Linked DNA regions of Danio rerio. The main gene of each other region encodes a partner of the protein of the gene in region 2 in a complex. Links are inferred from orthologs where the notes say so. Each region holds a gene or a part of one and is shown on either strand. Other genes may lie near its edges.

Region 1 (4,143 bases), on a different chromosome or scaffold from region 2:
CGATAACATTTATGTCAATAACAATGATAAACTCTGAACTTTTTTTACTTTATATTGATCTAAGAGCCAATCACACAGCAGAAATGTGCAACAATGGGAATCTAAAAGTGTTTTGCAAATAGAAATGTACTGAATTGTTGATAGGGCTGGGCAAATAAACAATATTATATTGAATCATGATAACATTTATGTCAATAACCATGATAAACTATGGACTTTTTTACTCTATATTGATCTAGGAGCCAATCACACTGCAAAAATGTGCAACAATGGAAATCTAAAAGTGTGTTGAGATGTACAAGATTTTTGGACACTAAAAATATATCGGCCAAAAATATATTATGCCATTTAATGGACCCTTAAATTTTTGTGGCTTCAGTAATTGTTAGGGGTATTCTTTTAAATCTGGAAGCCTAAACAACTTATATCGTAATATAAGATAAATATAAAATAATTATTGAGATTGCATTTTTGCCATATTGCCCAGCCCTAATAGGATATATATATATATATATATATATATATATATATATATATATATATATATATATATATATATATATATATATATATATATATATATATATATATACACTTCAAAGAATACCATGTTTGTACACAGTGTACATTGGGTACTACAGATGGCAATTTAATGTCATCTAGCACTAACTCTCCCAGGACTGGTTACGCCAATGGCTTCCACCATGCATTCAGAATGTCTGTATTTACGACAGGATAAAGTAAGCATAAAATTCTACACAAAGACACAAGAGCAGTAATGTTATTGTAGGCCTAATATTTTCTGCACTCCTGTCAAGCTCAAGTTGCCAAACATAATTTGAAGCTGTGCAAACCTGAACTAAAGCACTATAATAACACATTAATAACACGTTAGAATAACACTATAGTAACACATTATTCATTTACATTACACTAGTATTCTCAGATTATTATCATTATGTAAAGTCTTATTTACTGTACCTAAAATCTTGAACCCTGTCCTGTGCACTGTTATTAGTTTTCAAAGCATGCACATTTTCTCACACCATCATGCAAAAAAGCTTATGTGATGTGTATACAACAATATTATCAATTTATTTATTGTGTTAATCTAAAACCATAGATAAATACATACATAGATACCATGTGTATATATTATACATATAGTATAGACATACGATTTTAGCTTTGGGTCACATGAATTGTGTAACGTGTAGGTGTACAGGCTCCTCAGCTCTGTAGCGCAAGTCTACTACTAGTTATAGCATTGCTTTCTCTTTATTAGTTACAGCATGCAGGGTTAATCGTCCCATCACTGATTCAAAAAGAAATATATCAATACATCAGCTTATAAACAGGATGTTGTGTAGAATTAAGTTTACTTTAGACATGTATTTGAGTCTTCATATATATAATAGTACAATTTAACTAATTCAACAGTCTTTCTCAAATATGTTCCACTATAGCCAAAATTATTCATATTCCATTTAAGCTGTTAGCGAAATCTTTATTTCAGGTATATATTTTTACAATAAATCCAACAAAAACAAGATGTGCAATCCACAATGTCAATTACATGTGACCATGGATCACCAAATCAGTCTTCAAAAATTTCCAAATATCATAGATAAATTAATACATAGATACCGTATTACTATATTAAACATATTTAGACACACGATTTTACCTTTGGGTAACATTTTAAAGTGTGTTTTGAGCTCAATTGTGACCAAAATACAACGTTGTGGAGACGTGCTGGGTCAAGGTAGGCAGTCGTGGTAGTTACCGGAGGGAGATACAACCTCTCAGGTTAGGAAACCCGGCACAAGTGCTATGCCCCTTTATGAGATATTGAAGCTACAGTCTCATATTCCTGCCAAATACAAACACGTCTCCTCACTCGGAAGGTCCCCGTCTCTAACAGATGAATGTAAAGCAATTTTTGGCACTGAGCCCGTGTGGCGTCTGCGTGCCGCACGCCGAAAAAATGTGTCAGTGTGCACAAAGGAATCTAATGGAAACTTCACGGAATGTGCATTGATGCAACGGCGCACCAGACATAGCAAATGTTACGCGCAACTAAAATGTCACGCTAAAACATGTGTTTGTTTCAGGATTAGCATTGATGTTTCGTATTTACAATGTCATTTCTACAATCTACGTTATCAACGCGTGCGATGTAACCATTAAAACACATTGTGTTAAATTGTAACATTGGCTAGTATGCAGCTAGACAGCCAGTGTTGTCTTCTGCATGCTCATTTCATTTGGCATCGCATACGTGTGCAAAAAAATGTTCGAGCATCATCATCATCATCATCGTTTGTCCAGAGAGTCGGTGACCAGTGAACTCTGCGATTCCATTAGCAACAACTGTAAGTTCCTAGTGATCAATACCGAGCAGGGACGCCGGGTCAACATTCTCAACATTCCTCCATATCACTGTGCATATGCAGAAATGACACCCGAGACTCTGCACTTTACAACGTGCCACATTTGCCCAGATGACAAAATGTCGTCGCATGCATTATGATTTATTGCATTTCAACATGCATTGGTAGTTTGAGCCTCGCCGGCATTTTATACTTTTTAAAGGTGTTTGCATATTTGTGAATAAGAGCGAGCGCTGTTTGTTGCATGGCATGCATTAGTCAAAGCATCAAAATAGAAATATTTTTTACTTACGATTTCAGAGGATTTTGGACCACTGTGGCCATTTTGATATAGAATGATACAATGTAAGACTGCAGATCCCCGGTATTGTACATGTAATATAGCAGCAATTTCAATTTCATTCATTCTCTGGGGCTGCGGCTGGATCGGTCAGCCAATGGGAGCGCGGCTGCCTGATGGTCAGTGCGGGGAAATGTAGTTTTTATTCCCTGAAGCAGTCGGGACTCGTCGGCGCGCGTGCTACAAATACCACAATGCACCGCGGTTAACTGTATTCTAGTCCCGCCTTGATTTTGTGTGGGTAAGCCAAAACATCTACTGTAAATTCAAGGTTGGATTGCTGGACTGTCTGTCAGTATTTTTTGTTGCCTCATGTTGGTAGCTTCTTTGATTCGCAGAGGAATAGTTTCAGAGTGATTGCAGCAAAATCAAGCCGTTCGTTCTTGTGTTGTATATTTCATCTTTGAGATTAGCAGATTTGGGTAGTCATTGGTCATTATTATTTTATTACACAGCATTTTTCTGCATGTGTGCTATGTTTAGTCAGATGCATGTATATTTGAATACACATTTTTTTCCATTGACTTCTGATGGGTTTTGTGCCTGGGCTAAATAGTATAGTATATTATAAATATACTATAAACAGTATATTTATATCTGAACCCTGATCAATCTTTTCTGCATCATTTATAACAATTATTTCACCAATTTATGTATTGATTTTATGGTAAAGCAGTTTTTCTCATATATACATATGGTTGTTACCAAATGAATAATTAATCCTACAATACTATACCAGCTGAAGAATCACGATACCAAGTAGTATTGTGATACTGTAATTTATATGTCAAATTGTCAAAAATAAAAGAAAATTGTCAAAAATACTATATTTTATGTTATAATAGGCCTACTTGAATTAAATTCATAATTACTTTAAAGCCAAAAAGTATTATTTGCACCTCACTAAGATATATTCATTCTTTTGGTTTATTTTGTAGATAAACTGACCAACAAGAATACATTAATATAAAGATACAAATGATACCAAATGAAATTTGTTACAAAAGTGCATTTTTTCCAACTAAATTAGGCTATATGAAGTGGTCCAAAATTCTTTACTATTTGCTATTTTGGGTTTCAGGTAACAATCCAAAGTAATTCAAAACGTCACTTTGTGAGATGTGTTTTTAAAGAGATTGTTGCAGTTGTTGTAGCTACTAAATTATATTAACAGGAACAGAAATGACTCGATGTGCGTTTGAGCTGAAGCGTGAGAAAACGTGCAATAGGCTACCATATAAGGCGCAAATTCTACTGTTTTGCAACCTTAAAGGGCTCCACAGACTATTAAAATAAAATGGTCTATTGTTCCACAAGCGTGTGAGCATTTTAGTGTCTCTACGACATGCAACATTATCTATTGTAGCTAAACCATTAATGACGATACTACCGTTGACAAACTACAGTGGC
Region 2 (3,665 bases):
CTTCTCTGTCTCGGCTGGCTTTTCTGCAGACTCGCTGGGTTTCTCTGCTTCATCCTTTGACTCCGCCTGCAACAGATGAGACAGGGAATGTCGAGAAGACAGTCAGACAGCATGAGACTGGGGAAATGCAAATGAAGCATGGGCACAAGTACAGAAGGTGCATTGCAATAAATCCCAAAAATGATAGTTGGGAAAGGATAAGCACAAATCTGATAGCAATCAACCCGTAAACAGGACAGCGTAACACATGACATATCTGGCTACTGGCAGCAAAGCTGAATCTGACCTTATCAGGCTGCTGGGAGTCGGAGTCTGTGTCCATTTTCTCAGTCTCTGTAGGTTCTGCAAGAAACAAACAATGATTAAAACATCAAATATTAGGCAGAGTGTACTGAAACAAACATGAAACCAGAAATATACCTTAGCACCTCAGTGGCAGTAAAACAACAATTTTTTCTTAAATTTACTTTTTTATATTTACATAAAATTAGCTATTAAAGCATTTAATGTTTTTTTAAAGGTAAGTTTCTGTATTATAGTGATAATTTAGTTTTTTTTTTTTTTTTTTCAGTACATTTTTTACTGATTACATGCATGAAAATTAACCAAATGACATTTTCTGAAAAAAAAAATTAATAGAACTACAGATAAACGGATAGAAAAATAAATTGAACGATAGACGGACAGACAGAAGGATAGACAGACAGAAGGATAGACAGACGGACAGATAGACAGACAGACAGAAAGATAGACAGAAGGATAGACGGACGGACAGAAGGATAGACAAACGGACAGAAGGACAGTAAGAACAATAACAGAGAGATCGATAGACAGACAGAAAACAATAGACGGACAGACAAAACGATAGGCGGATGACAAGATAGACAACAACAGGCGGACAGACAGAAGGATAAACGGATGTAAAGAAGGACAGACGAACGACAGACGGATGGCCAGAAGGATAGACGAACGGACAGATGGACAGAAAACAACAGACGAATGGACAAAATGATAGATGGACAGACAAAATGAGTGAAGGACAAACAAAACGATAGACGGACAGACCAAATAATAGACGGACAACCAAAACGATAGACAAAACAATAGAGGAACAGACAAAACGATAGACGGACAGACAGAACAATAGAGGGACTTGCAGAAAGAAGGATGGACAGAGGGACAGACAGACAAAGCGATAGAAAGACAGACGAAACAAAAGACTGACATACAGAACGAAAAACAGAACAATAGACAAACAGACAAAACCATAGACGGACAAACAGAACGATAAACGAACAGACAAAATACAGTATTTCAGCATAAAAGGGGATACATTTTTCACTGCTAATTATTTCACTTTTTTATACAATACAGAAAGTAACAAAACACAATGTAAAAATTTAATAAAGTAAATAACATTAACGCTAAAAATGTAAACAATACTAATTACAAATTTTAAACAATTCAGGGAGGGGCAAATTTACACCTAATCGTTAAACTCTGTATTAAATAATTTTAAATCTTTGTTCTTGGTCTGAAGAGGAGTCTGTGAGAAAGCTTACTGGTTGTAAAATAAAAAAAATTCACACCTTATTTAATTATCAATCTAAAATAAATTGAGAGAAACTGAGATGTTTTTCCATGTATACAAACAAAAATACAGTAAAGCATTAATACTGGCAAATAGTGACATTTTAGCGGCCATTACTACAGCCTTTAATATCATGCAATCCGTATACAAGTATAGATATATAACTATATTACTTCTAATTTTAGTACATGCTATAATAAAAATGTTTATGTTAAGAAAAAGATTATGCGGCTTTAAGGGCTTTACAGATATGTCTATGAATAACACCTCGAACTGTTGAACAAATGAAATGCAGAATCAAAAAAAAAAATAGCCTGACACACCCATAAAGCATGTGCAGAAAACAACCAAGCATAAGGGAAAGCAAGAAAAAATTAAAGCTGCAAGCAGCGATGAAAGGGACCTCGCACCCGGGCTCACCGCCGCCCGGTGACCTTACGATGACAGAGAACAGCGAACAATAATAATTTAAGCCGATATATAAAAAAAAATCTAAGAAAATCACAGATTTATGCCAAACTTCCTCCTGTCAGCAGGTGGCGCTATAACTGTGACTTAAGATTGGCATGTAGATGTCTTCCGGAGAGGAATATTATCAACCATGTGAAGTTTCAGGCACATGGGACATTGTGTGGCTGAGTTATAAGCCAAACTACCTTCTGCCAGCAGGTGGCGTTATGACTGACTCAATATTGTTATGTGGATGTGTTCAGGAGCGGACTTTTATCAACCATGTGAAGTTTCAGGCAGATCTGAGATTGTGTGGAGATTGTGTTTTAAGACAAACTACATTCTGCCAGCAGGTGGCGCTATGACTGACTCAGTATTGTTATGTAGATGTGTTCAGGAGAGGACTTTTATCAATCATGTGAAGTTTCAGGCAGATCAGACATTGTGTGGTTGAGTTATAAGAAATTCCTGTTCCATGGCGAAGCGTTGAGGTTTGTCATGCCACCACAGACACGCCCCTCTGCAAAAACTCTAGATCTTTACAATATATCATCGCTAGAGCTTTCAGATGACACCACTCTATTTTGATGCTGATACGGGAAAGTTTGTGGGAGGAGTTTGTTACAGTGTCAAACATGTTATTTCCTGTGGCCAGCAGGTGGAGCTATAACTATATCTGGATATCGGCACGTAAACCTGATCAGGTCAGGACTGTTATTAAATGTGTGAATTTTGAGGCAGATCGAATATTGCATGCCAGAGTTATAAAGACTTCCTGTTTTGTGGCGAATCATTAAAGTTTGCGAGGCCGCCACGGACACGCCCATCGATGAAAACTCTAAAGCTTCGCAATTTAACATCACCAAGGCTTTAAGATGACAAAACCCAATTTTGGTGTTTATCAGATAAAATCCCTAGGAGGAGTTCGTTAAAATACAACGTCTGAAAATGGCAAAAGCGCCACTTTTTCGCCACAGGAAGTTAAAAATATCCGACTTCCTGTTGGGTTTGAGATATGGCTCCAAGAGACTTTTTCATATTTTTTGCCATGTTTGAGGTGTGTGCCAATTTTTGTGCATGTGCGTGATTCGTAGATCGGGGGCTCGTCCGTTTAATTTTTCTAGGTGGCGCTGTCAAGTCATTTTGCCACGCCCACTTCAATATTGTTATGTGGATGTGTTCAAGAGATGACGTTTATCAACCATGTGAAGTTTCAGGCTGATCGGACATTGTGTGGTTGTGTTATAAGGACTTCCTGTTCCATGGCGAAGCGTTGAGGTTTGTCATACCGCCATGGACACGCCCCTCTGCGAAAACTCTAAATCTTCACAATATATCATCGCTAGAGCTTTCAGATAACACCACTCAATTTTGGTGTTGATACGATAAAATTTGTGGGAGGAGTTTGTAACTCCGTAAATCATGTCATTTCCTGTTGCCAGCAGGTGGCGCTATAACTATATCTGGATATTGGCATGTAAACGTATTCAGGTCAGGACGCTTATCAAGCGTGTGAATTTTGAGGCAGATCGGATAATGCATGCCTGAGTTATAACGACTTCCTCTTTTGTGGCGAATCGTCAAAGTTTGCGAGGCCGCCACGGACACGCCCATCGATGAAAAC
Region 3 (2,808 bases), on a different chromosome or scaffold from region 2:
AGAAATCAGATTGAGACCAGACTAAAAATAGGCAGCAATCAGACTCAAAATCAAAACTAAGATTGGACTGAGATGTTGATCAGGCAGGGATCAGACAAAAATCATGTGATCAAACTGAGTTCAGATTGATTTTGGATTTTAATCAGAAAGAGATCAGAATTAATTCTGACACCAGACAGAGACCAGATTGCATTCAGATTGAGTTCAGATTGTAATCAGACAGATATCAGATTATTTGAGATTGAGATCAGAAAGTGACAGTATGATTTTAGATTGAGATGTGTTCAAACTTAGATTAGATTGAGTTCAGAACGAAATCAGATTGAGTTTAGACAGAAATCGGATTGAGTTTAGACAGAAATCGGATTGAGTTTAGTTTGAGATCAGATTGTGATCAGACAGAGATGAGATTAACTTTACATTGAGATCAGAAAGATAAGAATACATTTATAGTGAGATCAGAAAGAGATCATATTCAATTCAAATTGAAGGTCAGATTGAGTTCAAACAGTGATCAGATTGACTTTAGATCAAGATCAAATTGTGATCAGACAATGATCAGAACAAATTTCGACTGAGGTCAAACAGAGATTAGATAAAATTCAAATTGAACAGAGATCAGATTGATTGATCAGATTGAGTTTAGATTGAGATCAGACTGAGATTATGATCTGACAGTGATCAGACAGAGATCAGGAGCTCACCGGTGGTGCTTTTTGAGACAGTTCTCTGTTGAGTCTTTCTGTGAAGCCCTGCAGAAGTGTGTTTCCTCCTGTCACGATCACACTGCCGTACAGACCCTACACACACACACACACACACACACACACACACACACACACACACACACACACACACACACACATCAATATGAAACACTAACAAAATGCACTTCACATCATTTATGACTGGAGATTATTTGTTCTGTTCTACCGGTCTGATATCGATGTCACACATGCCGATGCTGGTGGTGACCACGTGTCCGACACCCAGCATGGTGTTACCGGACAATCCCTGAGAACACAGACAGACAGCACGCATATCAGCATTACATACACACTCTCTCTCTTAATCCTCATCTGTGACTCTCAACATGTGATTTCAGTTGCTATAATGGAAAGTAAATATTAAGTAATTTACCAGCAGAATTTTAGAAATATAATCTCATTGTGTCTTAAGATTCTTTATTTTTTTAAAGATTGGATAACACCCTCACTACTAATTACTAACTTGGTTTGTTGATTTGGCATGGCTTGGTTTGGTTTGCTTTATTTGAGAGGGGTCTGGATGCAAATGCTTTTTAATGCGCTCTCCTAGCCCCACCCCTAACCCTACCCGTCACAGTGACGTCACTCACTCCATTGAGTGCATTGTGTCTGACACTGCATCGCTGAGTGATGCACTCTCAGCTTGCATCATAAAGGCTGCATCCAGATACTATTGGTTTAGTTTGGTATTATTTGGTTGGTTGATTGATTGGTTTGGTTGATTGGTTTAATTGTTGGTTTAGCTTGGTTTTATTTGGTTTCGTTGGTTGGTTGGTTGATCTGTTTAGCTGGGTAGGATTGTTGGTTTGGTTTGGTTGGTTGGTTGGTTTGGTTTTGCTGGGTTGTTAACTGGTTGGTTGGTTGGTTGGTTGATTGGTTTGGTTTGGTTGATTGGTTGGTTGGGTTGGATTGAGTTGTTGGTTTGGCTTGATTTGGTTTGGTTTTGTTGGTTGTTTGGTTGGTTGTTTGGTTGGTTGGTTGGTTGGTCAGTTTAGTTGGGTTGGTTAGTTGGTTTAGTTATTTGGTTTGGTTCGGGTTGGTTTGGTTTTAGTTTGGCTGGGTTGTTGATTGGTTGGTTAGTTGGTTGGTTGGTTGGGTTTGGTTGAGTTGTTTGGTTTGGTTTCGTTGGTTGGTTGGTTTAGTTGAGTTGGGTTGTTGGTTTAGTTGGTTTGGTGGTTTGGTTGACTTGGGTTGTTGGCTGGTTGATTGGTTTGGTTTGGTTCGATTCTGTTTGGTTGGGTTGTTTGCTTTGGTTGGTTGGTTTGGTTTGGTTGGTTTATTGGTTGGGTTTTTAGTTTGGTTTGGTTTGTTTGGTTGGTTTGATTTGGTTGGTTTGCTTTGGTTTGGTTTGGTTTGGTTTGGTTGGTTTGGTTTGGTTTGGTTGGGTTGTTGGTTTGGTTTGGTTTGGTTGGTTTGGTTTGGTTGGTTGGTTGGTTTGGTTTGGTTTGGTTGGTTTGGTTTGGTTTGGTTTGGTTTGGTTGGTTTGGTTTGGTTGGGTTGTTGGTTTGGTTTGGTTTGGTTGGGTTGTTGGTTTGGTTTGGTTTGGTTGGTTTGGTTGGTTTGGTTTGGTTTGGTTTGGTTTGGTTTGGTTTGGTTGGTTGGTTTGGTTTGGTTTGGGTAGTTGGTTGGTTTGGTGGGTTTGGTTTGGTTTGGTTGGTTAGTTTGGTTTGGTTGGTTGATTTGTTTTTTTTTTTTTTTTTTTTTTTTTTTTGGTTTGGTTGGGTTGTTGGTTTGGTTTGGTTGGTTTGGTTTGGTTTGGTTGGTTGGTTGGTTGGTTGGTTTGGTTTGGTTTGGTTGGTTTGGTTTGGTTGGTTGGTTGGTTGGTTTGGTTTGGTTTGGTTGGTTTGGTTTGGTTGGTTGGTTGGTTGGTTTGGTTTGGTTGGTTGGTTTGGTTTGGTTGGTTGGTTGGTTTGGTTTGGTTGGTTGGTTTGGTTTGGTTGGTTAGTTTGGTTTGGTTGGTTGATTTGTTTTTTTTTTTTTTTTTTTTTTTTTTTTTTTTCCAATGTATGCAATTTTTAATGGCTTAGAATTTTCTTGGATG

The links.
Region 1: smarcc1a (region 2) and dpf1 share a complex: the UniProt entries of both Homo sapiens proteins name them as parts of the neuron-specific chromatin remodeling complex. The link is inferred for Danio rerio from reciprocal best matches to the Homo sapiens genes SMARCC1 and DPF1.
Region 3: smarcc1a (region 2) and actl6b share a complex: the UniProt entries of both Homo sapiens proteins name them as parts of the BAF complex. The link is inferred for Danio rerio from reciprocal best matches to the Homo sapiens genes SMARCC1 and ACTL6B.

What each region holds. Positions count from the first base shown.
Region 1 is NC_133190.1:16,403,019-16,407,161, forward strand, and holds the start of dpf1 (zinc finger protein neuro-d4), read right to left. Parts: upstream 2,874-4,143; 5' UTR 2,796-2,873; coding exon 2,686-2,795; intron 1-2,685. UniProt on the Homo sapiens protein: May have an important role in developing neurons by participating in regulation of cell survival, possibly as a neurospecific transcription factor. Belongs to the neuron-specific chromatin remodeling complex (nBAF complex).
Region 2 is NC_133191.1:46,860,451-46,864,115, forward strand, and holds part of smarcc1a (SWI/SNF complex subunit SMARCC1), read right to left. Parts: intron 343-3,665; coding exon 287-342; intron 67-286; coding exon 1-66. UniProt on the Homo sapiens protein: Involved in transcriptional activation and repression of select genes by chromatin remodeling (alteration of DNA-nucleosome topology).
Region 3 is NC_133198.1:48,242,929-48,245,736, forward strand, and holds part of actl6b (actin-like protein 6B), read right to left. Parts: intron 1,015-2,808; coding exon 934-1,014; intron 801-933; coding exon 705-800; intron 1-704. UniProt on the Homo sapiens protein: Involved in transcriptional activation and repression of select genes by chromatin remodeling (alteration of DNA-nucleosome topology).